Oryctolagus cuniculus: one gene and its partners. The protein of the gene in region 4 interacts with the protein of the main gene of each other region in a pairwise test. Links are inferred from orthologs where the notes say so. Each region holds a gene or a part of one and is shown on either strand. Other genes may lie near its edges.

What was found.
Region 1: the proteins of PRKAB2 (region 4) and CSNK2B interact in a two-hybrid assay, tested with the Homo sapiens proteins (2 studies listed by BioGRID and IntAct). The link is inferred for Oryctolagus cuniculus from reciprocal best matches to the Homo sapiens genes PRKAB2 and CSNK2B.
Region 2: the proteins of PRKAB2 (region 4) and BEN domain-containing protein 5 interact in binary tests that used the Homo sapiens proteins (3 or more experiments, as listed by UniProt). The link is inferred for Oryctolagus cuniculus from reciprocal best matches to the Homo sapiens genes PRKAB2 and BEND5.
Region 3: the proteins of PRKAB2 (region 4) and cone-rod homeobox protein interact in binary tests that used the Homo sapiens proteins (3 or more experiments, as listed by UniProt). The link is inferred for Oryctolagus cuniculus from reciprocal best matches to the Homo sapiens genes PRKAB2 and CRX.
Region 5: the proteins of PRKAB2 (region 4) and PSMD11 interact in binary tests that used the Homo sapiens proteins (3 or more experiments, as listed by UniProt). The link is inferred for Oryctolagus cuniculus from reciprocal best matches to the Homo sapiens genes PRKAB2 and PSMD11.
Region 6: the proteins of PRKAB2 (region 4) and LZTS2 interact in binary tests that used the Homo sapiens proteins (3 or more experiments, as listed by UniProt). The link is inferred for Oryctolagus cuniculus from reciprocal best matches to the Homo sapiens genes PRKAB2 and LZTS2.
Region 7: the proteins of PRKAB2 (region 4) and ADAMTSL4 interact in binary tests that used the Homo sapiens proteins (3 or more experiments, as listed by UniProt). The link is inferred for Oryctolagus cuniculus from reciprocal best matches to the Homo sapiens genes PRKAB2 and ADAMTSL4.

Annotation. Positions count from the first base shown.
Region 1 is NC_091436.1:138,947,093-138,951,213, reverse strand, and holds the start of CSNK2B (casein kinase II subunit beta), read left to right. Parts: upstream 1-1,321; 5' UTR 1,322-1,340; coding exon 1,341-1,412; intron 1,413-2,477; coding exon 2,478-2,580; intron 2,581-3,140; coding exon 3,141-3,256; intron 3,257-3,663; coding exon 3,664-3,739; intron 3,740-3,883; coding exon 3,884-4,073; intron 4,074-4,121. UniProt on the Homo sapiens protein: Regulatory subunit of casein kinase II/CK2.
Region 2 is NC_091438.1:123,791,698-123,795,197, reverse strand, and holds part of BEN domain-containing protein 5, read right to left. Parts: intron 1,460-3,500; coding exon 1,243-1,459; intron 1-1,242. UniProt on the Homo sapiens protein: Acts as a transcriptional repressor.
Region 3 is NC_091449.1:9,969,913-9,974,060, reverse strand, and holds the start of cone-rod homeobox protein, read left to right. Parts: upstream 1-1,348; 5' UTR 1,349-1,548; intron 1,549-1,803; 5' UTR 1,804-1,875; intron 1,876-4,148. UniProt on the Homo sapiens protein: Transcription factor that binds and transactivates the sequence 5'-TAATC[CA]-3' which is found upstream of several photoreceptor-specific genes, including the opsin genes.
Region 4 is NC_091438.1:50,111,967-50,115,954, forward strand, and holds the start of PRKAB2 (5'-AMP-activated protein kinase subunit beta-2), read left to right. Parts: upstream 1-1,188; 5' UTR 1,189-1,587; coding exon 1,588-1,743; intron 1,744-3,988. UniProt on the Homo sapiens protein: Non-catalytic subunit of AMP-activated protein kinase (AMPK), an energy sensor protein kinase that plays a key role in regulating cellular energy metabolism.
Region 5 is NC_091448.1:41,599,261-41,602,760, forward strand, and holds part of PSMD11 (26S proteasome non-ATPase regulatory subunit 11), read right to left. Parts: intron 2,669-3,500; coding exon 2,608-2,668; intron 402-2,607; coding exon 339-401; intron 1-338.
Region 6 is NC_091446.1:28,872,964-28,877,164, reverse strand, and holds the start of LZTS2 (leucine zipper putative tumor suppressor 2), read left to right. Parts: upstream 1-1,401; 5' UTR 1,402-1,646; intron 1,647-1,784; exon of another isoform or gene 1,785-2,509; 5' UTR 2,510-2,579; coding exon 2,580-2,630; intron 2,631-4,201. UniProt on the Homo sapiens protein: Negative regulator of katanin-mediated microtubule severing and release from the centrosome. Required for central spindle formation and the completion of cytokinesis.
Region 7 is NC_091438.1:47,452,929-47,457,118, forward strand, and holds the start of ADAMTSL4 (ADAMTS-like protein 4), read right to left. Parts: upstream 2,801-4,190; 5' UTR 2,753-2,800; exon of another isoform or gene 589-2,752; 5' UTR 515-588; coding exon 498-514; exon of another isoform or gene 245-497; coding exon 190-244; exon of another isoform or gene 1-189. UniProt on the Homo sapiens protein: Positive regulation of apoptosis. May facilitate FBN1 microfibril biogenesis.

The DNA of each region.
Region 1 (4,121 bases), on a different chromosome or scaffold from region 4:
CCCTGGGAGGAAATGGAGAAGTGCAAGGGGACGAGCAGCAGGATGGCCGGCGCCGCCTCAGGTTAGCGCACCGGGCCGTCCTGGTTGTCAATAACGCTCAACTCAGGACAGACACACCCGACCCAGGTCCCTCAGCACGGAGCCCGTTCGTACCTCCCACCTCAGAAGGCCCGAGCTCAGGGTAAAACGTGGGGCTCTCCTGTGCAAGGCCGTGCCCGACTTGATAAGAACTAGGAGGGTTGGCCAGGGCTCACTGAGGGTCCCCGAGGGCAACGTCTGCGACCCGACTCGCCTCGCTTCTTCCCCCGCCCCCTCTTGGCCCCTCAGTCCAGTGAGCATACGACTCTATTTCCCAGGCTCCTGGCCCCGAACGCCTTACTTGGCTTCCGCTTCCGGTGGCGCCTCGCTGTGCCCCGCCCCCGAGCCGCGTCCTCGGGGGCCTCGCGACACGAGGGTCGTGAGTGAGCTGTCCTGGGATTCGTAGTTCGCTTTTCCCTCGCTTCGCCGGTCTCTCGCCCTAGCGGACTCCATCTCCCAGCGTCCACCGCGGCTCTCGCCCCTCGGCGCTTGCGCGTTGCCCTCTTCCCCACCCTCCCCGATTTCCACTCCCCCCACCCGACTTCGCCTGCCGCGGTCGGGTCCGCGGCCTTCGCTGTAGCGGTCGCCGTCGTTCTTTGGAAGCAGCTGTTCCCCTCCCCCACCCCGGTCCCGCTCCCCGTCCAGCTGGTGAGTGTGAAGTGGTTGCCCCGCGGAGTTCCCGGTCCCTAGGAGCGGCACATGGGGTCTCCCCGCCTTGAGGTGGGGGCGAGGAAGGAAGTGACCCGGTCCGTAACCGTGGGAGGGAAGGGTGGCCGGAGAGCGGGAGGCAGGCTGTGGGGACTCCGTGAAAGAGTACCTGGCGGTGCCCGCCCCTCGCCCCGGGTCGTGAGAAAAGGAGGTGTCGGTCGTTGCTTGGCAAAGATAAACTTCTAATTCTTGGGGAAGGGTGCCGGAGCCCTGCGGTGGTAGGGAGCCCGAGCCGAGGACTCTGCCAGAGTTGACACAGGCGAGAGGGGTCTGGCCATCGGGGGCGCGGGGGATGTAGGTAGGGACTGCTGGGTCGGTACTTGTGGGCTCCTGCCAAGGAATTTCTAAGTTCATTCAGAGAAAAGGGGCCGAGGTGTAAATAACAAGAGCTAGAGAAGCCTGTCCCAAAGGCTGGGATCCTTTAAAAAAAAAAAAAAAAAAAAGGGTGGCCCCAAATTCTTCCATGGCTGAAAGACAGAGTGTGGGAGGAGGGAAGGTGCCAGAGCCGGGGAGGGAGAGCTTGGACTTGACTCCTGTTTCCAGCTGACGTGAAGATGAGCAGCTCGGAGGAAGTGTCCTGGATTTCCTGGTTTTGTGGGCTCCGTGGCAATGAATTCTTCTGTGAAGTGAGTGCTTTTCGTTCTTCCTACTCGCTGGTTCCATGCGTTCAGGTTGGGTATCTTCAGCTTTTGCACACTTTATCCCGTGGAAACTCCTTCCCGTGAAAGAAGGGGTCCCCTCAGTAACCCCCCACTAATCAGCGGCGATGTGGCAAGACTGGGGCCCAAGTCCCATTTCTGTCACACACCCCACCGCACCCCCAGGAGGATAACATTGAACTAGTCAGACCATCTTTTTTTTTTCTTTTTCTTTTTTAATTTTTTTATTGTACTTAAAGTATCTGAAGGTAGAGCAACAGAGAAAGTGAAGGATCTTCTGTCTACTGGTTTATGTCCCAAATTTCTACAACAGCTACTGCTACCAGCCAGGCTGAAGTAAAGATCCCAAAACTTACCTGGGTTTCCCATGTGGGTGGCAGGGACTCAAGTACTTGTGCCATCACCCTGCTACCTTCCAGGGTGTGTGTTAGCAAGAAGCTGGAATTGGAAGTGGAGTTGGGACTTGAACCTGAGCATTCCAGTTTGGGATGTGGGTTATCTCTAACCATGTAGGAACCACCGTGCCAAGTGTCCTTTCTCCTTTGCTTTTTCATTACTAGAATGCTACTGGTAGTGCTTATCTCTGGGGGCTGTTAGGAGAATTGGAATACTGCACCTTAAAATGTTCTGTAACATGCAAAGCTCTGTGTTGACATAAGGAATTCTAACCACCTTCAGAAACCAAGCTGTTCAGCCTCCACCTTCCTCAGAGAGCAGCTGTTCCCTCAGGAGAGGACAGAACTGGTTCCTAGAGATGAGGAACAGGACTAGAGACGCGGGAGTCGAGTGTGTCTCTAAGGAGACTGCTGTGCTTGCTTGTCCTTGGAGGAGAGAAGCTGGAGCTTTCACGGGGGGGAGGGCGTGCGTGTGAACTCGGGACAGCGGCTGAAGTACTGACGCTGAGTTGGAGTAGGAAACAGGCAGACCAGACGCAGCCGTGTGGCCGACAAGGCGTTCGTTAGGTGACCTTGGCCAGCTCAGAAGCTGGGGGTCCCAGTAGGAGTTTTCCTCTTGACCTCCGTGTTCTACCAGGTGGATGAAGACTACATCCAGGACAAATTTAACCTTACCGGCCTCAATGAGCAGGTGCCTCACTATCGACAAGCTCTAGACATGATCTTGGACCTGGAACCTGGTGAGACACCCTCAAGGTTCATGGTGGGGGGGCTGTTTTTCTCTTCAAATTACCTCTTGAATTTACCTCTTGAATTTCTAAACTTCCTTTTGGTTCTCTGACACCCTTAACCTCAAAGTCCCAGCAGCATTTTTGCCCCCCTCCTTGAATTCTTGCCTAGTTTTGTGACTGATAGCACTTGCTGCCATACTTTCTGAATTTGTAGCTCAGCGCTCCTCCTTATGCGAGTTTCCTCGCGGGTCTTGTTTACTGCCTCTTTGCCTGCCTTGCACCCTCCAGTCTAGAGTTCCACCTTCTGTGTTGACATCTTTGTATTTACGTACTAAGGAAGGAGTTGGGAGGGAGAGAAGAGAGCAGAGGCTGAAGAGGTGTGGAGAGAAGGCTGGGCTTCCTTGGGTTGGTGGAAGGGGCAGAGACCCAGGTTAAATGCCCACGTGAGGACTGGGTGAAGCTCAAGGATGGGTGCTGGGCAAACTGGGCAGCCAACAGCCCTGGGGGTGGGCGGGGCACCTGGGAAAGCTGGAACGCCAGTGGTTGCATGTGGCTGGCCCATATTTCAGACGAAGAGCTGGAAGACAACCCCAACCAGAGCGACCTGATTGAGCAGGCGGCCGAGATGCTTTACGGATTGATCCATGCCCGCTACATCCTCACCAACCGAGGCATCGCCCAGATGGTGAGGCCTCTCTGCGCCTGCGTGACTCCTTGTGAGGCAGTAAGGGAAACAGGTTCCTACAGTGAGCAGTAATCTGGCAGCCCTGTCAAGGAGTCGAGCTGAGATGAGAAAAACCCAGAGTTTGGGCCGGGAAACTGAGTCCTCCCTGGACGTCCTGCTGAGGGGGTGTCTTCAGGGAGGGCGATGTGAGCTTGGTCAGAGTTGTGGACTGCTTCTTCCTCAGAGAACAGACGGCAAATGGCCCTGGATGTCATTAGCCTCCCTAACTGGGGGGAAAGTTGGTGGGCCCCTTTGATCTGCACAAGGACCTCCAAGAAGAGGGAGGAAATGTGGAGGACAGAGTTATGTGGGGGTCGCTGCTTATCCTCATACCCACCCACCAATCCCTTCCATTTTTTTCCCTTCAGTTGGAAAAGTACCAGCAGGGAGACTTTGGCTACTGTCCCCGTGTATACTGTGAGAACCAGCCAATGCTTCCTATCGGTGAGTATTGAAGAAGGGAGAGGGGGCACCATCTGGCAGTCCTCTGGGAAGGAGTTGGGCTCAGCAAGGCGGGAGCTGAGTTCTGGGGCAGGGGACTCGGCAGTGTCGCGGGTGCCTGGCCTGCTGAGTCTGGCTGTCTCCCAGGCCTGTCGGACATCCCAGGTGAGGCCATGGTGAAGCTCTACTGCCCCAAGTGCATGGACGTGTACACACCCAAGTCATCGAGGCACCATCACACGGATGGTGCCTACTTCGGCACTGGTTTCCCTCACATGCTCTTCATGGTGCATCCCGAGTACCGGCCCAAGCGACCCGCCAACCAGTTTGTGCCCAGGTGGGGAGCAGACAGAGTCACCATGTGTCAAAGGAAAGACTCAGAATC
Region 2 (3,500 bases), about 74 Mb from region 4:
ATCATTAATAGCTTTCAAGATGGAAGGAGTCACAAACCAATGCATGCAAGCAGCTACTGGAAGCTGGAAGAGGCAGGAAACTGAATTCTTTGCCAGAGCCTCTAGAAGAATTTCATATCTGGTGATATTTTTAGCTCTACCTTCCAGAATTATAAGACAATAAATTCATGTTACCTTAAGCCACCAAGTGTGGGTAATTTGTCATATGAGTAATAGGAAATCAATAAGGAATCAAACACTGAATTCTCCAATCCCACAGAACGAAAGCTGGAGAAAGGAAAGGAGAGTTTGGAGCTGATGGTGGCAGAGACAAAACGCACTTCGAGTAATAAATCAAACTGCACACCACTCACCAAACTGTACTGGAGGCAACTTGGTTTCCCTAAGAAACAAATAGATTTCTCCTCTGAGAGGTTCATAGTCATAAAATGCTTCCATATTTTGGGGTTGGTGCTGTGGCTCACTTGGTTAATCCTCTGCCTGCAGCACCGGCATCCCATGTGGGCACCAGATTCTGTCCCGGTTGTTCCTCTTCCAGTCCAGCTCTCTGCTGTGGCCCTGGAGGGCAGTGGAGGATGGCCCAAGTGCTTGGGCCCTGCACCCACTGGGAGACCAGGAGGAAGCACCTGGCTCCTGGATTCGGATCAGCGCAGGGCCAGCCTTAGCGGCCATTTGGGGAGTGAACCAATGGAAGGAAGACCTTTCTCTCTGTCTCTCTCTCTGTCTATAACTCTACCTGTCAAATAAACAACAACAAAAAAACTCCCATATTTTTTAACATCCAGGAAATTTCCCTCTTAAATTTCCTTCTTTTCTCAGTTTTTGAGATTTACCAGAACTTTTGTATTTTACTAGAAAACTTTATCAGATTCATTCAGAAAGACAACTGTTTACCTCACATCTTATTCTGTGGCTTTCTGGTACATACAGCAACAAAGAATCACACAATAAAAATGATATTTAAAACAACATTAACTAATAATAGTTAATTACACTACTTAATACTACTATTTAATTATATATTATATAATACTAATTATTTAATTATAATTTTATCCAACTAATAATTATTCAATGACTAAACAATTTAATATATTACTTAATATAATAAATTATTAAATCTCTCTATATAATCTATAGAGCACCAATATTCGTTTTATGCATTCTGTAAACTTATTGTGAAATCCCTACCCCAGGGTTGCCTAGTTCTAATGGGCTTCCCAAACCAGGCACAAGTCTTACCACGCTCTGACCCAGCTGCTCTCGAAAGAAGTAATCCATGTTTCTCTTTTGTAGGCTGTCAAGGTAATGCTGAAAGCGGGTGTATGTATAAGGGTAGCAGTAAGCAAACTGGTAAATGTCTTCTTCTCGGTCAAAACAAAATGCAAAGGACATCACGTAATTTTTCCTGTGGTCCGGGCAGCGGTAGTAGTAAACATTTTTAGGTGGCAGTCTTTGCCTGAAAGATACAAAGAAATTTGGGCATATCAGACAATTGTTCAAGCTTCAAAAGTCAATAAATAGGACAAAGGATTAGGAGAAAAACTGACGCCAAGGACCCTGAGTGGTGGGAATGGGAAACAATAACAGACTACACAGAGGGAAAACCAGACCTGACTTTGGCAATGTTTTGTTCAAAATCCAGAAGTATCTTTTTTGAACTGCTTAGAAAACATAAGGTAAAATTAAAATGAGCAAATTTCATCTTCATTTTGTTTATCCTTATTTTGAGCACTTAATGTATGCCCAGCTGTTACATTAGTGTCTTAATGGACAATAAGACAAAGTTTCAGTTCTCATGGGTTATAAATTTTAGTGGAGACTTATTCAGTAAGATATTAAAAATAAACAGACAATAAAGTTAGAGACTCCAAAAGTTTTTTGAGTGAAAATAAAGAGTGTAATGTTATGGAAACATAAATAGGAGAGGCCCACTTTTTCCAGGGAAGTCAGTTTTTCTTTATTACAGGACTAATTCAGACCTTTTAAAATAAACTAATATGCATTGTGAATATTCAAGGAAGGGAAAGAATATTAAACATTTTTTCTAAATTATTACTATTATTTTTCTATAGAGAATTCCATGAGACTAATTTTCCATAGAAGCACTTTGGGAAATATTGCTTTAAAATATGCTGTGTGAGTGTTTTGCTAAGTCATCATGTTCATTCTTCAGTAAGGAACAGAGATGAATACATAAGAAAAGGAAAATGTTCCAGTCAGAGTCGTCTTAACTCCTTTTTATTTATGCTCTTCTTTTTTATTTAAATTTTTTATTTATACAAATGTCGGGGACCATGTAGCATGTGGCCTCTTAGTGGAAAACTAGTGAGGCAGGACTAGACAGCCCAGACCGGAGGGAGAGTACTGATAACACAACCTTGTATGACCTTGTGCCTTAAGACCTTGTAACCTTTCCCCTACTTGCACAAGCATTGCAGCTACAAGATAAGCTCCCCCCCTTCCCCCGCCCGACACCCTGCCTTTATGATATATAAGAGTGTGGTTGAAAATAAAAATCGCAGCTTAATCAGGACTTGTCTTGCTGCCATCTTTGTGTCTCCTGTCCCTTTCATTTCTCCTTCTAGGTGCTCGGCTCCAGTTGCTGTCCCGCGGGACAGGACATATAAATGGAACAAAATTTATATATCTCATACATATAATTTTATGTACATAATGACTTCTAACCCCATCCTCCATCCCTCCCTCACTCCCACACTTTCTTCTGCTTCCTTTCTTATTTTTCTTTTAATTTTTTTTCTTTGAGAACAAGATTTATCATTAATCAAAGAAGTTCCAAAGGAAATGGGCAATGGAGTTGGGCACTGAGGCTTATCTAAAACTTATGAGACATAAGATTATCCTTTGCTTAATACACTAATGTGAAGTTGATCTTTGAGAACAAGTTTTACTATTAACTCTCATAATACAACTCTTTGAGGACAGAGGTCCTACATGGGAAGTTAGTACATGGTGACTCCTATTGTTAATTTAACAATTAACACTCTTATGTATGACATCAGTAATCACCTAAGACTCTTGACATGAGCTGCCTAGGCTATGGAAGCCTTTTGAATCCACAAAATCCTTCAGTATTCAGACAAGGCCATAAGCAAAGTGGAGGCTCTCTCTTCCCTTCAGAGAAAATACATTCTTCTTTGATGATCACTTCTTTATCCTGGAGTTTCACCCACAGAGGTCCTTCATGTAGGACATCTTTTGCCACAGTATCTTGGCTTTCCATGCATGAAATGCTCTTGTGGGCTCTTGGGCCAGACTAGAATGCCCCAAGGACTGATAGAGAGTTATTGCACCCTCTCATGCTTTCTGATGTCCAAACACTTCACATTGCTTCCCTACAGAGAATGCTTCTCATTTCTAGCTCCTCAAATTCTCTTAATCCTAAAAAAAATCCATCTCAAATTGCGCCTTTTCCATGATCCTATGTTGATGATTCCTGGCCAATCAGCTCAAGTATTTTGTAGGCTCTCTTGCTTCCT
Region 3 (4,148 bases), on a different chromosome or scaffold from region 4:
GGTGGACTGGATGTGGGGTGAAGAAAGGGAGCCTTGGTGTGGTCCAGGAAGAAAGCACTCTGCTCCAGCTTCCCTGGACTGACCCCCTTGGGGCCAGGGCACGGGGCCTCCTGAGCCCACTTCTCCAACCCACTCTAGCAGCACTGCTGATTGGCAGCTTGCCAGCGGGAGCTGACTGACAGCTCAGTCCCCTCCTCCATGGGCCCATCTGTCCTGTCTCCATCTCCTGCAGAGCCACCCCCTCCCCTGCTCTGGGGGCCGTGGCGGAGGGGGGCAGCAGGGTCTGTCCTGGGATGGGCTTCTCCCATCAGGACGTCCTGACTGGTCCCTGAGGGCCAGGGGCCCCTCCCTCTCTGTCTGTCACCCTGGCTCTTCAGGCTAATGAGACCTGCCCTGATTCCCCAGCTGGCCTTAATCTCTCCCAGCAGGGGGCATGGAAGAAGGGGGGGTGGAGATAGGGCTCCTTATGGTGAGGTACAGTGGCCGCCAGAGGAGGGATTCCTGTGTGTGTGCTCATGTGTGCCTGCATGCATGCCTGAGTGTCTTTGTATGTGGGTTTGTGTTTGCCTGTGTGTGTTCCATGTGGGTTTGTGTTTGCGTGTGTGTGTGTGTTTCTATGCCTGTTTGGAGGTCTGGGGAAAGTAGAGCAGACCCACGTGGGGACAAGAGCCCAGGGAGATGTTAACATCCAGAGACAGAGAGTGAGACAGTGCAGAGGGAGACCAGGCAAGGAACCCGGGAGGGAGCGAGTCAGCAAGAGGCCCCCCCCCAACCCCAGGGAGGACACAGAGGGAGGGGCCTGGGGAGTGAGGGAGGCAGAGGCAGGGAGGAAGAGAGGGGCAGGTTCAGGGTTGGATGTGGGGGACACAGGTCTGCCCGGCCGAGGGCAGAGGGGCTGAGACCAGGCTGGAGCCCCAGGCAGAGGGGGACAGGCAGGGATCCAGCAAAATGAGGGCGGGTCCTTGAGGCCGAGGGAGAGACAGCTGGGGAGGGGAGGGAGGGCGGCGGAGGGTGTGTGTGGGGAGAGACAGACAGACAGACACACACACACATACCAGCATAGAGAGTGCCCGAGCACTCGAGCAAGTGGGTCCTGGAAGTGGGCCCATAAAGACAGAGGAGGGTGGGGGGAGAGCGAGGGGTGCACGGGCCAATCAGCACACAAGGCACAGCCTGGGGCCCGAAGGAAGAGACACTGAGGCACAGAGGCCCCACACAAATCGAGCGAGAACGGGAGCGTGGGCGGGAGAGCGAGGACGCGGAGGTCAGGGACCAGCGTGAGGCCAAGGCAAGGAAAGCATAAGAGGGAAACTGAGGCAGAAAGCAGAGGACAGTGTGGCAATGGGGAGATGGGCGGCTGGGGAGGCACGGGGGCACCCAGGAGTGGGTGCTGAGAGCCCTGGGCCCCTCCTCCTCCCCACAATCTCTCAGGAGCGCCCTGTGTTTCTGTCCATCTTTGCTGCGTCCCTCTGTGACAAAGCTAAAGCCGGACGGGCACCAGTCAGACCCAAGCAAGGACTTCCCGAGGGGTGGAGGCTCTGGTCACAGGCAGGTGCAGGACTGTCCCCCCACATCTCCATTAGCCCTAATTGCCAAGATGTCGGGGGAGGGGCGAGGGGACTTAGGCAGATGGGTGCCCCTCCCCCTCCTAGCCAATGTCACCTCCCGGTGCCCAGTGGGTGCCCCAGCTCGGCGGCAGGGATTACCCCCCCGGGATCCAGGCCACAGCGTGTGACATCACTCCCGGCTCCGGGGCTTAAAATCACCCGGCGGGTGGGGACCTGTTTCCTTCTGCCTCTGCAGCCTGGGTGACTCCTGTGCCGTGTGCGGGACCTGGGCCACCAGGGCAGCCAGGTCGGTCCCTGCCTTCGGAAGGTGAGCGAGTGCAGGAGAGGCAGAGGGCACTGCGGCGGGGGCCGGGGTTGGGGCCGGGGCCGAGTTCCCCTTGTTCCCGGCTGGCTGGGTCTGTGGGGTGGCGGACTGGGCAGGTACACAGCAGAGGGCGGGGACTGGCCCTGGGCACACGCAGGGGCCCTGGATGGAGGGTGCAGGGGTGAGGGCTTCTGGCCGTCCTTCCCAGACAGCCCCTCTGCACCCCTGCGGGGTGTTCCTGAGAAGTCTCACTGCTGCCTGGAACTTTCTTCTCTGGGCATCTGCCTCTCCCACTCTCTCTCTCTCTCTGACCCCTGATTTCTTCCCAGTGCCTGCTGTGTGGTGGGGGATTTGCCAGGGTGTGAATGGATGGACAGGGAAAGACAGAAAGGAAGCGACGCGTGCACGCGGGGCCGGGCTCTCGGGCTCTGCTAAGTGGGGACCCTGGGGGGACTGCCCGAGGGGCCGGGATGCTTTGGGAGCCATGAGGCTGGTGACCTCATTACTTGGGGACCTTGCCACGCCTAACGGCTCCGGCCGTGCCACATCCCCTCCGAGGTTCCAGCTCCTGGTCTCTCCTGCTCCCTGGGGACCCAGGACAGAGGAGCCCTCGGGGGCTGCAGAGATCGTATGGGGGGGCACACAGCCGAGCTGGGGCCCCTTGCCAAGGGTGGGCATGGAGCCCTTTGGGTGTGGCCTCCCTGGGCTCCGGTCTCCTCCTTTGCAAGGTGGGGCTGGTGACGGAGGAGCTGAGGGAGGCTGGGGTCACAGGCCAGGGGAGGGGCGGGGTGGCCTCATCCTGCTTCCTGGGACCCCAGGTAGGTTTGGGGGACAACGATGGGTCCTGAGAGACTTGGGTTCTCTCTCTGCTTCTGCCACTTACCACCCATGTGGCCTTGGGACCCCTGGGCTCTGGGGGACTGGGGGAGAGCAAGGTGGGTATAGGCTCAGGGGGCGCTGGCCCAGCTGCTGGCCTGTGTGTGTCATGGGACCAGCCTCAATTTGCCCCTCTGTATACTGGGGCTGATGCCAGGAGCAGCCTCGTAGGCAGTTCCTCCCCCAGGTTCTTGTCCCCCGATGTCTTGTTCCCAAGGCCGTGCTGCAGGGACTGAATAGCTGGGAACGCTGGGACGTCCTTATTGTTATCCAATGCCTGGACTAGGGTGGGCATCCTCCTCCCCAGCAGGCTCAGAGACCCCTCCATGCAGAATGGGGTCACTGCAGGCCTGCCCAGGAGGTGGGGGTGAGCGCTCAGGTGGACGCGGGGCCCCTGGCCGGTGCTGCCGTCCCTCCCACCAGCCCTGGGGCCTTGAAATGCAGCGGGGCAGGGGGCGCTGTCAGGACCATGGTCAGTTCCCAGACACAGCCGGAATCAGCCGCTTGAGATCCTGGCTGACAATTCCTGGGGTGCTCGTGTTGCCGCCCACTCCTCTCAGGAGGTTCCAGGGAGGCCCTTCCGAGTTCATTTCTTGCTTGTCATTTGTTGTCACATCCCGTCTTCGTGGCTTCATCCACGCCTAGCGAACAGATCAACCCTGGGTTCCCACATGCTGCTGCTTGGCCCTGGGCACGCGCCTTCCTCCCCTGGGATCCTGCCTGTAGGATGGGCTTGTCCTCATGGGAAGTCCAGGCTTTTGGGGACACCAGCAGGGTCCTCCTGCCCCACTGCGGGGTCCTCCCGAGTCTCCCTCTTCCCATGCTCTCTTGGGGTTCATAGCAAACACTTCTCCTCTGCAAAGTGGGAGACAGCAGAGGGGAGGCGGATGGAGGGGCTGAGAAGGCAGGGGTGGAATCCGGGGTCCCCAGAGGGCCTCGCTGGGCCTGAGCACAACTTTTGGAGTGCGATGGGGTCCCTGCCTCCCAGGGCTGTGTGACAAGGTACTTCCTGCTTGGAGGTCAGGGGGAGGCTGGAATGCCAGTTTCCTGGGGCTGTTTGAATTGCTACGAAAGGTAACAAAGTGTTGCAAGCTTGCAAGGCGGTGGGCAGCAGGCATAGATCTCCCACTTGGCTGCTTGAGCCTCCTCCTAAGGCGGCAGCCAGCTCCGCTTTCCCTGGGGGCTGCCCTCTGCCAGGTCCCCAGCATTCTTGGTTAGGTACTGCAGCCCCTGCCGACCCACAGGGGTCCCCGCAGGGTGTGGCCATCAGGGTGGACTGCTCTCTGCTGCTGGTTTGTTTCTATGCGTTTCTACCCCAGGACGCCCCCGCAGCTCCTCCTAGATCTTTCCTCTCTGCCCTGTGATTGGTTCTGGTCACACTGGACCAAGTGATTCCAGCT
Region 4 (3,988 bases):
TTTTAAATAAATAAATAAATAAATAAATAAATAAAAAGATTTTGGAGGGGTGAGCAAGAGACTGCAGTAAAATGGTACTTTTTTCTCTGTAAATTGTCTGTGGTTAAGAGCCAGAGAATGAGTTTACAAGGGGGCAAAGCAAACCTCTCTCTACAGATAGAGCCCCTCACTCATAAAGATGGGTGGGGTGCCTTTGGGTCCCCAATCACTGGCCATTTTCAAGCCTAAGTCGCATATCTTGTTAGAAACGTGTAACGGTATGCATGTCCCCTTCACTCTGCCAATGCTTGGTAAAAAGCTTTGTACGAGGTGCATGCAGAATACAGACAGAAATCACACGTGGTTCCGCTGTAGGCCAGCTGTCAAAGCACCCTCCTCACAGTCCCAGGTGGTCTTGTTAAAGGGCGGAGCCTGATTCCCTATGTGGGAATGGGGCCCGGGAGTCCGCATGTCGAACAAGCTCCCTGGTGATGCCGGGGCCGCTGGCGGACACGAGTATCCCAGGCTGACAGAGCTTTGCAGTAGGGAACGAGACACGGATGAGATAATAATACACAGCAAGGATCCGCAAAGGCCCCGAACCTCCATTCATGATCACAAAAACGGGGTCCCTCCCAACCCGAGGGCTGTCTGTGCCCTTATTATACCTTCCGCGTTCCTTCTGATGGGTTTTGCTGCTGCTCTGTCTCCGGAGTGTTATTTCTTCCAGGGGTGCCCACCGCACAGGTTCATTCCGCTAACATTTCACTAATCCTCACGGGCTAGCGGCCGATCACTCCATCTTGAGCTCTTCCCGGGGACCCCAGTCGGGCTGACTTCTCTCCCCCGGTACCCAGTGTTCGCGTCCAGGGACAACCACTCCTTCCTTCTGCTCGGGGCCGAGGTCCGTTCTCATTCCCTGTAGGAAGCCACCTCTCCGGGTCGCCCAGGGCCATGACGCCGCGCACACCACGCCTGTGGGGCGCCTGAGGCGGGGTGAGGACGCCCGGGGAGCGGCCGCCGCGGGTCCTCCCGGCAGCCTGTTCCCACGGAGCCCACGCCCCGGCGGTTCCGGACGCCGCCTCCCTCCCGCCCTTGTGCCCCCGCGCGGCCCGGCGCTGGCTGCGGCGCGCGGCTCACCATCGAGGCGGCGGCTAGAGAGGCGGGCGGGCCGCAGGGAACGCGCACGGGGCGGGCCCCCCGCGCCGCTGGCCTTGTAGCCATTTTAGGAGGAAACCAGGGGCGCTAGCTCGGGGCGCGGCTTCAATTTCAATAACTTTATTGGTGGCGTCACCCGCGGGACGGCCATCGCGCCGGTGGCCTGGACAAGAAGGAGCGCATCGCCGGAGGTGGTGACGGGCGTGGGCGCCCTGGGGCAGGCGGCGCGGGCTGCGGGGGAGGTCCCCATAGCGGTTCCCTGAGCCGGGGCCGCGCCGAGGCCCGGGAGTTGCGGGGGTTCCCGCAGGCCGGGAGGGAGGGGATTCCCTCGCCCGGGTCCGCGGGCGCAGGGGCGGGGCCGGGGGCGCCGGTGACGGACGCGGCGTCTGGGGTGTTCCCCGCCCGGTGTGGTGCCCCCGCGGCAGGTGGCCCCCGACTGGAGCCGCGGTCATGGGAAACACCACCAGCGACCGGGTGTCCGGGGAGCGCCACGGCGCCAAGGCTGCGCGCGCCGAGGGTGCCGGCGGCCATGGCCCGAGCAAGGAGCACAAGATCATGGTGGGGAGCACGGACGACCCCAGCGTCTTCAGCCTGCCTGATTCCAAGGTAAGCGGCCTCACGCCCCAAGACGTCGGCGGTGCTGCAGCCGGCTTGGTTTCGGGCTCCTCCCTTGCTGGGTTCCTTCTCATGACACTGAACTGGGTGATGGGTTTTTGAATTAAAAGGGATTTTCCGAGTCGAAGGTGTTGGATGGTAATTCCTCTTACGGTGCTGCTTCAAAATAGGGCGAGGCGGCGGAATTCTCTGACTAGTCTCTCCGCCACGTTTTAAAGGATGGGGACAATAGACAGCCGCCGTTTCGGGTACCCTCTTGGAGTGTTGATGAATTTGCAGATTGTAAACTGGGTGGGGAAACTTCGCAGGGGAGGTGGCAGTTTTTCACATTGGCCCTGAGGGTGGCTCAGTGAATTTCATTTTCCTGAAAATGTCTGTGTATCAGTGTCATCTTTGCCTTTCTAGGAGCTCTGCACTTGAAATTCTCTTCCCCTTTGGTACGGCCGTGAGCCGCGACTCCTTGCCTTCTTGACTACTTTGTCCTAGGCTTGGGATCAGTAGGACGTCATTTGGTTGACTGCTTTTGCTTGGTCCAGCACTGGTGTGGTGGCCGACACCCAGCTGCTTGCTGGGAGGGCAAATGATTCCCAGTCCCCTCTCCTCTCCAGGAGAACTTGAGAGTGTTGCCCGTGGCTGAAAACACCCACCCCCAGCTGCCCCTCTGAAGCGCCTGCTCTCAGTTCCTAGGACTTCTGGGAAGACCAACTTGCGTTCACACTACAGAATGGACAGATGGCGCTGACAGCCATATGATTCCAGAGCAGTGTCTAATCACTCTTAGAACTGTCGGCATGAAATGCATTTAATTTCTCCAGTTGGGCTGAGTAGGGTGAAATAGAACAATGGAGAGACAAAGATGGCAGGGTCTGATGTTTTTATCACTTCATCACTTTCGTCCAACTAGGGCCTCTGGGCAGAAAGAGATCCTTATTTGCCACATTGCTAGTACAGGAAATTTGCATGCTGTGGTTTCTTTATCTTCTGGAATCCCCATTGAGAACAGAATCACAGACAGAAAAGAGAGTGATTGAAAGGAGTTGTTTTGGGATTTCTTTTCTGGTGCTTTTTTTCCCTTTCAACTTGAGAATTTCTTCCCCATCATTTGGGCTGTCTCCGCAGCCACCTGAATTTACTTGTTCAGAATTTTCCCAACGTGATCTGCCTCCTGTGTTTTTACCCTTTTTTGATGTTAATGACTCAGGATTTAAGAACAGTGTGGTTGTGAAACTGTGACTGCAGCATTTGATGGCCTCAATAAAAGCTAGGTTGTTGTGTCTGAATTGGGGCCTATTTTGGATCATTTTTTCCCCCACATTGCAGTCTTGCCATTTGTGATATTTAAAAATTGGCTTATGTAATTCCTAAGGTTTCATCCAACTCAAAAATTTTGTAGTACTCCATCTACTCTCTCCTTTCCTCAACATGTTTCTCACCTATTTCCAAACTATGGCTCTAGCTGTTGTTTTGCCCCTTTTCCTGTTGGTTTTGCCGACTATTTAACTTGGAGCAAATATTCTTGCTGCCAGTCGGCTGCATCCGTTCCTACCACAGAAATGTTGTGTCATAAGTGGGAGGGCTTTCCTCCGAAGCTAGGCATATTAATAGTCCATAGCTTTCAGATTCTGCACTGAAGATCTGTCATAAAAGTAACTGACGGAAACAGTGGTGGGAGGCCCAGAGGGCTCCAGGTGCCTGCCTCCATCACCAGACTGGTTGGGTGGTTCTTAATCCTGGTTGCACATAAGAATAACCTGAGATTTGTTTCAGTTATGGTGACTCTGAAACCTTTACCAAGTAGCAAGAACAGTATAATGAACTCTGTGTACCTGTCAGCCATTTTAAACAATGACCAAGTCATGAATGAACATGTGTCATCTAAGTCCCAATCCACTGTATCCTCACCAAAGTATTTTGAAGCACATTGTAGACATTGTATCGAGTATTGTATCATAACATTTTATAATGTGCTAAAGGTGATTTTTTCGCTTTTAGTAGAAAGTCACACTGTTATTATCAGGGAAGATTTTTAGAAGTAGATTACCAGCTCCTGTATCTGCCTCAGAGCCTGAGAGTTATTGTTAGGTCTGTTAAAAAAAAATCCTGTGAGTCTGATGCAGCCAGTCAGGCAGGAAGGCATTGCTTTGAGAACATGAGGACCGGGGTTTTCTCTTAAGCCTGAATTATGCTATTACTGGGGTCTCATACTTAGTTTTGAGGAATATCAAAAGGCGCTGTG
Region 5 (3,500 bases), on a different chromosome or scaffold from region 4:
AGACCCCGTTAGCTGTGTGACTTTGGGCATCCTCCTGAACCCTGGTTCCCTCAACCACACAATGCAGGTAACAGATCTGCCAGGGGAAAGGATGACAGAAAAACCTCTGAAATTGAAAAAGTTCCCATATATAAATTATATATCATTTAGATCACCTTAAGTTTCACCGTATACAAGTGCATAAACATTTTCTGGTTTTGATATTTTACCAGGTGACTCGTACAAGGGATCACTATACTATTTTGCAACTTTGTGTGGAATTCTATTTCCGTTAAGTTTTCTTAAATATACATCCATTCTCCTCCACCCATTCCCTACCAACCCAACACCATGCTCACCTTTTCAAAATCTGCCAGTGATCTGTTCTTGCTAGCCTGAGCCACGCATTTTAATGCTTCTGTCTGAGAATAAAGAGACAAATCGTGAAAGTGATCTATTGTGCACTCACATTCACCCAAAAAGTCTCATGAGCAGTCTGTCGAAGAGCCCTCCCCACCACTGCTCCTTCAGAGGTCTGGGAAGAAAAACTACAAGTGTGGATATCACTGACAACCAGTTTCCTTTTGAAATCTTAAAGACACTAAGAATACTAGGAAATAGGTTTTCCAAAAAGACCCCAATGTAGCATTCTCCACAGTTGACACGCTCAGAGGGGACTGATGAGACAACTGTGGTCTTCCTCCTTCCTCCAGGACTCCCTTATCTCCACACCCACCCCACCTCCCTCCTGCCCTCAGACCTGCCTGCACCTGTGCTTTGTCCAGTCACTCGGAGATGTCTGGGAAAGTACTAGGGCCCACTTTCATTAGGGCCGAGGCGTCAGTATACACAGAATACACACTCACAGGGATGAAACCACAATCGGTGGTTATGGGGAACTTCTCATATAATTATAAAAGGCCAAGCTACCAAGTCTCCACTCCGTAAGAAATCTGCAATGCTCATTTTTTTTTTCTGGGAGACCAGCCTGACTGCTATTTGAAAGCTGTCATCCAAGTATAAAGGACAGAAGGAGCTGCTCTTCTGTCAGACTACATCCTTAAAGAAGGACAGTATGCTTTACCACACAGCGGATTAAATGGTGCACAGCTATCGCAAGGGCGGTCTGCGGTTGACATTTCTAGAACAAATGTTAATGCTACAATGACAAAAGCCTGAACCCAGAACCATATAACTCAAGCACAAAGTCCAGCTCCATTAGCTACCTGACCTTGTACCAGACACTTGACCTATCTGCACTCATCTCCTCAACTCTAATTCTAAAGAGATTAGTGCATCTGTCACTACAATAGTAACAAGTATTTTTCAGGTCAAAACTAGGAGCTGACTTGAAATTTTTACAGATGGAATGCCAATTTCAGGGCTACTTGTAGAGAACAAAGAAATTATGTTGTGGCCGTTCCTCCAAAAATATGGTGAGATAGCCAATTTGCTTGTTTGCAACAATTGCATTTGAAATGCAGAAAGTCTGCTTTCACTGGTGCTAATCAGGCAGAGTACAAACAGGGGATGGCCCACATCTGAGAAATGAGACTTACATAGGTCACAACATACTTGCTCTTTTAAGCCCATTCATACCCACTCAGACATAAGGTATCACAAAAAGGGCTACCAATCACCAAGAGTCTCTTTTTTCATCAAACTCAAATTTTAAAGCATGAGTGAAAAGGTACTGGGGCTGGCACTGTAGCAGAGCTGTGGCGGAGCCGGTGAAACACCAGCCCTGGCTGCTACAGCCATTTGAAGAGTGAACCAGCAGAAGAGCTCTCTCTCTTTCTTCCCCTCCTTTCTCTGTAACTCTGCCTTTCAAGTAGATTAAAATAAATAAATAAATCTTTGGGGGAAAAAAGGTACCGAGCTGAGAAGCACTCAGGTTGGTATCAAAGCCCAGTTTTACGCCAGGCAATCTAACCTCCCTAAAGCACATATGCAGCAGAACTGACCAGGTTCCTGACTCTGGAAATCCAAGATTTCATAGGCTCATGATAGTTAATCTTTTGGTCAAAGTTAATGCAACCTAACTTACTCACTCTACAGTTCAGTTCTGGAAGTCCCTCAAACCACTTGACATCCATAAAAGCACAAAACACTGAATTTCTGGCCCAAGAATTTAACAGCATAAGAAACATACTGAGGGGCTGGTGCCATGATGTGGCAGGTAAAGCCACCGCCAGCAGCACCAACACCCCATATGGGCACCGGTTTGAGTTCTGGCTGCTCCACTTCCGATCCAGCTCCCTGCTAATGCACCTAGGAAAGCATCAGAGGACGCCTCAAGTACTTGGGCCCCTGCACTCACATGGAAGACCTAGAAGCTCCTAGCTTCCAATTGGCCCAGCCCTGCTGGTGTGACCATTTGGGAAGTGAACCAGCAGATGGAAGATCTCACTATCTCTTTGTCTCTCTCTCTCTCTAATTCTGCCCTTCAGATAAATAACTAAATCTTTAAGAAAGAAAAAAAGAAACATACTGAATGTGCTTAAGGGAAGGAAGCAGGCAGGGGGAAGGAGAGAGCAGCATGGAGCCCTGAACAGCACTAGTCTCATCAAACAAGGTGACTGACAACATGCCGGCCTGAGTGAGAAGTGCAGTCAAGGTATTCCCTACCTGCCTCCCTGCATACCGAAGTGCAAGCTTCCCGCTCACCAAAGCCTGGACATCTTCTGGGCTAGAAAAAAAGACATACTCGGTCAATTGCTCCAGGATGTTACGCCTCTAAGCATAGGTTTAGGTGAATTTTCCTTTTTCCAGAATTCTACTGTGAACACTGGGAAGACACTGCCCACGCAAATAATCAGCCCCAACCCTTGAACCCATAGGCCCCTCATTCCAAAAGCTAGGCCTTCTCACTCTGAGCCAAAGCTGAGCACTGAGTAGAAAATCTCCAATGTTAAAAGAAAGTCAAATGGAAACTATTAAAAGCAATACACCCAGCCAGCGCCGCAGCTCACTTGGCTAATCTTCCAACTGCAGCGCCAGCACCCTGGGTTCTAGTCCTGGTTGCTCCTCTTCCAGTCCAGCTCTCTGCTGTGGCCTGGGAAGGCAGTGGAGCATGGCCCAAGTGCTTGGGTCCCTGCACCCACATGGGAGACCAGGAGGAAGCACTCGGCTCCTGGCTTCAGATCGGCACAGCGCTGGCTGTGGCGGCCATTAGGGGAGTGAACCAACGGAAGGAAGACCTTTCTGTCTATCTCTCTCTGTTTCTAACTCTGCCATCAAAAAAAAAAAAAAAGGCAATACACCCAACAGGCAGAACGATAAATCAAACCCCAATATAATAGGTCTTATTAAAACACAACCCCTGTGTAATCCAAAGATGAAAAACAAATCCCAGTATTTCATTTATTCCCAAAAGTGTATGAATAGTCCTGTAAAATTCTTTATAAAAAGATTTGTCATACTCTTTGTTGTTCACGCTTCAAAATTCTCCTTACCTCTTCCCTCCCCATTCTGCCTGGCTGGGTAGCACTGGTCTCCAAGCTATTTCCTGACCCTCTGTC
Region 6 (4,201 bases), on a different chromosome or scaffold from region 4:
ATGCTGATCCCAGCTGCTGCCTGAGCCTCCGGGCGCGCTGCCAGCAAGGGGAGGCGGCTCTGAGTGCCCCAGGAGGCCGGGATCAGGGCACGACCAGAGGAAGGGGCTCTCCACTGGGGAAGGGGCTCAGTCTGTTTTTGCGAAGCTGAGGGTCTGGGGTGAGCCTGAGGTTGGCTGGGCTATGTTTCCCTTTCCAGGGAAAAAGAAAGAAAAACAACCCATCGAGCTAAAAATAGAGCTGAGCGCCGGCCAGGGCTGTGGCCTGGAAGGGGGGGATGCTCCTTCCTGGGGCAGAGCCCAGCTCTGGCTGGCCTTGGCCCTGCGGGGGAGGGCTGCCGTCTGGGCGAGGGAGGCCGTCCTCGCCAAGGCCAGCGGGCATCAGCTGACCTGGCCAGGTCACAGAGACCCCTAAGGAAAGGTCTGTGTGATAGAGTGCATGCAAAACACGGTGTGCAGTATGAGAAGCTGTTTGTGAGTACTGCGAGGCTGTCAGCATGTGAAAGATGCTGGGAGGTGCGAGGGCCTGCGAGTTGTTGTGAAAGACTTAATGCACAACCGGTGTGACGCGGGGCTGCGCGGGAGCTGGCCTGGGAGTGCATGGAAGGAGGCCTGGGGGACCACGTGACGGATGAAGCTCTGCGATTGCGGCTGCCCGAGACTGAATGTGGGAAAGGTCGTGTGGGTGTTAAGATGTTGTTTCCAAGAGGGTGAGCATATGCGTGACCCTGAGGAGACCGTGGAATGTTGTCTGGTGGGAAGCTGGTGTAGGCTTGGGCTGTGCCTTTCCACTGGGGAGGCCAGAAGCCGCCCTTCCCCGGGCAATGACCCTTCTCTTAGCCAGCGACTCCAAGGGAAAGTTGGGGAGTCCAGAGCCGCGCCAAGGGCAGGCCTGGGCTGGCGTCCACGGGCACGGGCTGTGGAGTGGGAGAAGACCCCCCTGGGTCGGGGGGCGAGTAGATGTGCTCTGAGAACCGACCGCCAGGTGGCGCCGCCTCCGCAGATCCTCGTGTACCGCCTCCAGCCCGCTGTGGGGTGGGCCAGGCAGGGACCTGGCCGCGGCCCCCGACTAGTGCTGGGGCGCAGGGCCCCGGCAGCCGAGGAGCGGCGGGCAGCTGACCCTCGGCTTCCCGCTCTGGACTCTGAAGCTGGAGAGTGTCTGGGGCGGGCTTCGATTAGAGAAGCGAGGGGGAGGGGCCGCCGCGCCGCGCCTTGGCCCTTTGTGCTCGAACAATGACCAGCTGCCGCTGGCCCCGGGGCCCGGCTCTGGTAGGGGGTGACCCGCCCGCCGAATCCACAGCCGACCGAGCCGTCCGACACGCAGTCACCGAGACTCGGCGGGAGGGGTCCCGCTCGCCGCCGCGCAGCCCCTGCGTGCGCCCCAGCAGACACGCGTGACGTGGGGTGCCTGCGCGTGTCCGCGCCCCGGGGCGGGGACGCCCCTCGGACCCCTCCCCCGCGCCGCCCCGCGCCGCGCCGCCCACTCGGGCCGGGAGGGGACTGGCCCGGGCCGGGTGCGCCGCCGAGGCGGAGGCGGGGCCCGGCCGGGTCGGGCCGCTCCGAGTGGCCGCGCGCGGGCCGGAGCCGGGCGGCGCGCCTGTGGAGCGCTTGGGGCGGCCCGGGGCTGAGCATGGAGCAGCGCGGCGGAGGTGAGGGGGAGGCCGGGGCCGGGAGGAGACCCGGGGTCGCCCCCAACTTCTGTGCGGCGGCGTCGGGAGGGGAGGCGGCGTTCGGCGGCCGCCGTGCTGGTGGGGGGGGGGGGTCGTCGGCTGAGTGGGGGTGGGCGGGGGGAGGGGTCCCGGCTTCCTGCCTCGGAATGGGAACTCGGATCCCAGACTTGAGCCTGCGTGACTGTTCTTGGAGTTGAGGTGGGAGGGCGACTTTCCCGAACTCCTCAGCCCCCAAAACAGGTCTGCGCGAGCTCGGAGCGCGGCCAGAGCCGTCGCTGGCCCTGGCTGAGCCCCAGCCCTCAGCCCTCCGTCCTGCCCACCGCGGCGATTACTCGGGAGAGCGAGGGGTTCCCTTTGCCCACAGCCACGGCGCATTTCTCAAAATGGAGCCTCGGCTTGCCCCTCCTTCTCAGTCGGGCTCTGAGAGCGGGAGTCCTACTGGCTGGGCCTGGCTGGCCGGCTTTCGTCGCTCTGGGTCTGGGGGGCCTTGGCCTCTTGCGGTTCCGGGGCCTGGCGCCATGGGCCGGCCTGCCTGGCTTCCTTGGCCGCCTGACCCCCGCGCCTCCCTGAGCCTTTGTCTCGGCCTTTGGCTCTTTCTCCGAGTGGGCCCATCGCCTTCCTTCAGTTTTCACTTTTCTCTGTGCTCCCTGAAGAGGAGAAATGCGGACAGAAATGCCAGCCCGCATGGCCCCCTTAGCAGCCCCTTCCCCCGTCCTGTCCGTGCCTTACGTGGCCCTGCAGAGGGAGGAGGAGGCTCCCGGGTGCCCGCGTTGCCCAGGGCTGGAGCTTGGGGTGCTGTCAGGCCCCAGCCCTGCAGCCAGGCCCACCATTGCTCCCAGCAGCTCCTCCGGCAGTCTGGACTGACACCGACCTGGTTCTTGGTGTCTTTTCACTTGGGTAGAGAGGAAAGGGATGAACTCGATGGAACACAAGCAAGAAAGAAGGGGAACAGCTCGGACAAAGGTGGTTCCCCCTCTCCCCACACTCCAGAGTGAAAACTGGCGGGTTCCCTCGCACTCCCCGGTGCCCGACATGCCTGCCCTCAGAGCCTTCTCTGTGGGTAACCCGGCTCTGGCCGGCCTGCTGTGCACACACAGGAGTTCGCGGGGGGGAACCCATGTCCTGGGTTCCTCTTCAGCATCTCAGCACACTCACCTGTTACCTGTGCATTTACTACTCCTGCGTACTTGCATGGTGACCCTTAATTACACACGCATACGTGTGAGGTTCACACGTTAGTTCACACCTAGACGGGTGTATGTATTGAACATGTCCAAACACACACTCATGTTTTCACACGCATTATTCCTGGCACGCAGTGCTCACTCTGCTGCCCCTGGGCATAAAGGCGGCCATGAAGACCTGTACACGCACACATTCCTACTCCCAGGAAGTTTTCTGTCCGCCTCCTTGGCCTGCACGTTCTGCATGATGATTTCGGCAGATGCCAGAGCCCTGGTGCTCTGCGGCCTCGGGACCGGAGGGAGTTCCCCAGGGAGGCTTGCTCTCCCCTTCCAGGAAGGAGCAGAGCCCGGGGAGGTGGTGAGGTCTTGGAGCAGCTGCCAGAAGTGATGGTGGGGCTTCCGCCTCCATCGGGGTTTCTCTGGAGATGGCGGAAGCTGGAAGCTTCTGATAGAGGTTGGAGTCGGGCAGCGCCCATGAAGGCTCCTTTAGGCCCCATGTCACACCCTGACTGGGTATGGAGAGGGTAGGGGTTGTCATAGAAACAAGCAAGTGCCTGCATCACCTCCAGGAGGCAGGTGTGTGTGCCCTGAGAGCTGTGGACTGCCTGTTTGGCCAGCTCCACCCTTGCCGCCTCTCTGTCTGGGAGAAACTGAGGCCCAATAGGGGGAGGTGGGGCGCTGCTTGGCCTTGGCTCTTTGTTCCCTAATTATTGTCTGAGTTGCTGGTGGTGTCCTTGAGGTTGTCGCTGCCCAAACTGCCCTGTAACGAGGCCACCTGTCCCAGGAGACTGGGGACCTGGGCCAGGTGCTGGGAGAGAGGGCTTCTTGCCTAACCTGAGTCCTGGTCTCCGTGGGGCTGCAGGTCTGGGTCTGGGCCTCCACTGCCAGGTGGCCCTGTGCAGGCTTCCGATCCCTTCATCTCTGCCTGGTGGCCCTGTGCAGACCAGGGAGCAGTGGTCTGGGGCCCAGAGAGAAATGAGATTCGTGCCAGTACTTGGAAGAGGAGCCTTGGGGGGGGGGGGGGGTCAGGGCGTTGTTACTCATGTCAGGAAGGCGTTTGGCCTGGATCAGGGGACAGCACAGGGACTCAAGGCCTTGTATAGGGAGAGGGTATAGGATGCTGGGATTCTTTTTGTTTTGTTTTGTTTTGACAGGCAGAGTGGACAGTGAGAGAGAGACAGAGAGAAAGGTCTTCCCTTGCCGTTGGTTTACCCTCCAATGGCCACCACGGCCGGCGCACTGCGCCTATCCGAAGGCAGGAGCCAGGTGCTTCTCCTGGTCTCCCATGGGGTGCAGGGCCCAAGCACTTGGGCCATCCTCCACTGCACTCCCAGGCCACAGCAGAGAGCT
Region 7 (4,190 bases), about 2.7 Mb from region 4:
CTTGATGGTGTTTGACAGGGAGCCAGGGGGTCGGTGGGGGGTGGGGGATGCTAGGTGGGCCGAGTAGGAGTGAGAAGGACGTGGCTCTGAGGCTGGGGGACATGGAGATGGCCTGGCGAGGTCGGGCATGCGACCAGGGACAGGAGGCTGCCAGGCAGGCAAGCAGGGCCGCTCTTATCCAGGGCTCACCTGATCCAGGCAGAGCTGAGGAAGGGACAGAAGCAGCATCAGACACAGCCGGGGCCTGCAAACCACAACCAAAGGCAGGAGGGGCCGTCAGAACCGTCAGAACCGAGTCAGGGCAGGCGTTGCGACACTGCCCCTCCCCGCCCCCCAACACCCACAGGCTCCCATATCCTGACCACCGAGGTCTTGGAAAGCAGAAGTCACCACTTCCCCCAGCCCTCCCAGGGGTCCTTTTCCCGCGCCCTAGGGCCGAGGCCACCCCTCCCTCCCCCCGGGGTCCCCCCATCCCATCCAGGTGGCCCCCCTCTTACCAGCCTGCCCACTTCATCTCTCACCCCTGGCAAGGGAGGAGGGGCCTGGAGGTGCACACTACTCAGGCATCAGGGCGTGGAGGGGTACGCTCTGCGGGAACACAAGCCTGGCGTTTACCTCCCAGCCCCCAGGAAACAGGGAGGCCGGGAGGGAGGGCGCCCCCACCTTCCTTCGGGATGTTTAGGGGCTGCTGCCCTGGCCGCGGGCTAGGGCTGGAGGGTGGGGGTCTGACCTCAGCCTCCCGACTCAAGCTAGGCTCAGGCCCCTCCCCCTTGGCCCTTGCAGGAACTTCTCAGCCCCTCCCTAAGTCCCCTCTAGGGGCAGTTCCTAAGCCAACATCCTCAGATGGGTCCCTCTGGCCCCACTCCTCCCTCCTGGAAAGCTGAGGGAGGCTCAGGTGAGCACGGGCCGGACGCCGCACCTCACCCTGACAAGTCCCATGAGCTTTCCGAGAACGAGCCCCTTCCCAAGCCATCTCTGCATCCTTCCTGCCTCCCAGCCTTGTCTTCCCTTCTTAGCTAAGCTCCTTAGGAACAGTCAGGCACAGCTCGGCCTGCCTCAGACACTTTTTGGCCAAGGGATAAACTGAGTGGGTTGGTGGTTTAATCTCTATAAAGAAGAAGCAGGTGACTCAACCTCCCCTCTAGGCACCAGCACCCCTCCGGCTTGAGGCTTGCTTTGTGCACAGCCGGGAAGGCTGCAGGGACCTAAGCAAGGACAGGTGCAGAACTGCCCCTGCTCCCGCAGAGCCGGGAAGTCCATCCTGCAGTCTAGCCTGCTCTCAGCCTGACTCTCCCTGCCCCTGCAGGCCCCCCCAACACCTTCTGACTTTGAGCCCTTCCTGCCCCCACTCCTAATCCTGCTCTTAGTTCTGCTTTCCAGGAAAAAAAAAAAAAAACCCAACCCTGTTTCTGTTGGATCTGAAAGGCACCCGGGAGAGGGTTCCAAGGAGCCATTGCGAGGTGGGCCGGCTCAGGGGCAGCAGAAGCACCATGGGGAGAGCAGGAATGTGCCGGGGGTGGCAGCCCGCGGCCCTGTTCCCCTCCCTGAAACCCGGAGTGGGCAGGGTCCCCCTGCTGCTCGGGGCTGGGGAGGGGCTGCTGATGGCCCTGGCTGAACTGACCACTGAGGTCAGCCACCCCGCCCTGCTGGGCGCCGGGAGGCGGGGGCCCATGTTCTACGCAGACCTTCAGCCCCAGGCCTGTGGATGAGGCTGAGGGGAGGAGAGGTGGGTGGGGGTCACGCAGGGGCCCCCTCCACGCCCGCTCTGCCTCTGCTTCTCTCTGCCGGTCTCCCCAGTACATATAATCCTGTCCCGAGCGGGGCTTGGCTTCGGCAGTTCCCTGGAGAAGTGAGGGGTGGGGGTGACGTGAGCTCCCGGGGCGCGGGCCAGGCCTGGCTCCCTCTCTGGAAAAGTCCCACCCTGCCCTCCCCTGCACAGCTGGGCAGGGGGCCGATACCCCCTCCTCTGCGAAACAGACACACATTTGTGCTTTTTCACCCTTTGCACGCCCCTCTTCTGGTGTCTCGCTGCCCTGGGTAAGGAAAGAAAGCAGAAGGGGTCACTCCAGTGCCAGGCTGGATCCTGATCTGGAAAAACCTGGGCACCTCCTGGTCACACCTCCTCACGCTGGCCAGTGAAGATCAAAGAACAGACCTGCAGGGCCGGCCCCCTCACGAGGCAGGAGTCACTGAGAGGGGAGGGGCTGGCGGTGGACAGCCCCTGTCCTGGGTCAGAATCTCTTGCTCCCACCCGGCCCTCAACCCTGGGTCCTGGGGGAACCATCGCAACAGGTGTCTCTCTTTTCCGTCAACCTCTTTCGCCATCAGGCTGAGCGGCATCAAGGCGCCCATCTGCATCCCTCCCAGCGACCTTATTCCCAACTGCGGGAGTGAGGGGGTGTCAGGAAGGACACGTCCTCCGAGAGCAGCAAGGGCAGGAGGCGAGCGCGCCTGCAGGGAGGTCTTGGGTATGTTTTCCAACTTCACTATGTGACTTAGTAGGAATCTTGGCTCATTCCCCGCGCGGGTGATGGAGCCAGAGTTACACGGGATCAGACCCCCTCCCCAGGAATTCGACCCCAGGGGTTAGAAGATCTTCCGAGACCATCAGCGCCGGGGCCGGGGTCCCGGCGGGGGCGCGACCGCGCGGAGCTGGGGCCAGGGCGGTGCGGGCTGGTGCGCGGGCCGGGTGGTCTAACGGGACCCAGTGGGCAGGGGGCGGCCGGGGCCGGGGCTTGGGGAGGGTCTCTACCTGCTCGGCGCGCCCCCGGCGGCACGGTGGCCCTTCTGCGCCCCGGCGCTCCCTCGGGGCAGCCTTGCTCTGCGGCGGCCACTCCAGCCCCTGAGCCCGGCTCCGGACGCTGCCGCCTCCGGCCGCGGCTCCGCCCCGCGCCCCGCCCCGCCGGCGCCCCGCCCCCCCGGCCGCCGAGCGCCCCTGCCCGCGGTCCCGGGGTGGGGACGGTCGACCCCACAGCCTCCGCGCGCCAGTGCCACCCACCCGGGGCTGCGTCTTGAGGCAGAAGTCGCTCCCGGGGCTCAGGACCCCAGCACCCGCTGTGCCAGCGCTGCGCCCGTCCGAGCGGGGTGACCTCGAGGGGCGGCCGGGATCCAGGTGGCGCCTGGTCCTGAGTGACCTGGGCGAGGCGCGGGCCCGGAGGGAGGCCGCACGCAGGGTGCATGCAAATGGTCCTGTGCGTCTCCCGGCCCCCGTCGGCCAGGGCGCGCTCCTGCACACAGACCAAGGTCAGTCGCGGCCGCCTCTCTGGGCCCTGGCGGCGAACCAGGTGGTTCTGGGAGCCTGGGTTTCCTCCACCATAAAGTTTTACATGCAGGGCGTAGCGGAAGGAGCGCGCGCCGGTGTATGCGTCGGGCCGGCCTGCCGCCGAATGGCAGCTCCGGCGCTGTCCGGTTCGCTCTCTGTGCTGCAGAGGCCAACCGGACGTCGGGGTCGGTGACGGACCTGGAGTCGGCTGTCCGTCCAGTTGCATCTAGAAGAACGCACCCCGACCTCGGCAGCCTTGGGGACGCTGGGGAGGAATGCGTCTTTGGAGCAGGGAAGAGAAAGGGTTTCGCGTCTTAACACTGCGTGTGCTGTTTAGATTTTTAAGCTTGAAGCGTTATCCGTGTATTATGTTAAAAAGGAAATTATGTAAAATGACTGACAGAGTAGATGATGATACATGGTCACTAGTATTTAATTTTTTAAAACGTTTTTATTTGCTACTCATGAATTGCATTTTGGTGAGTCTATTCAATGTTTTAAATTTATTTATTGGGACCTGTGTTGCGGTGTAGCTGGCGAAGCCGCCACCTCCTGAGACACTGGCATCCCATTTGTGGAAGATGGCCTGAGTGTTTGGACCCCCGCTGCCCACATGGGAGACCCAGCCTGGTTCAGCCTTGGCCTGTGTGGCCATCTGGATGGAAGATCTCTGTCTCTCTTCCACTCTCTGTAACTGACTTTCAAATAAATAAATAAATAAATATGTTTTCCAAGTTGTATGTGTTTGAGAGAGTGTATTCCCACCCACTGGCTCACTCTCCAGATGCCAGCCTCTGCCAGAGCCGAGGCTGAATTGAAGACTGGGCACACAGTCCAGACCTCCAAAATGGGTCCTCAGGGACCCCACTACTTGAGCCCTCGCTGCTGCTTCCCAGGCTCTGCATTAGCAAGAAGCTGGAGTAGGAGC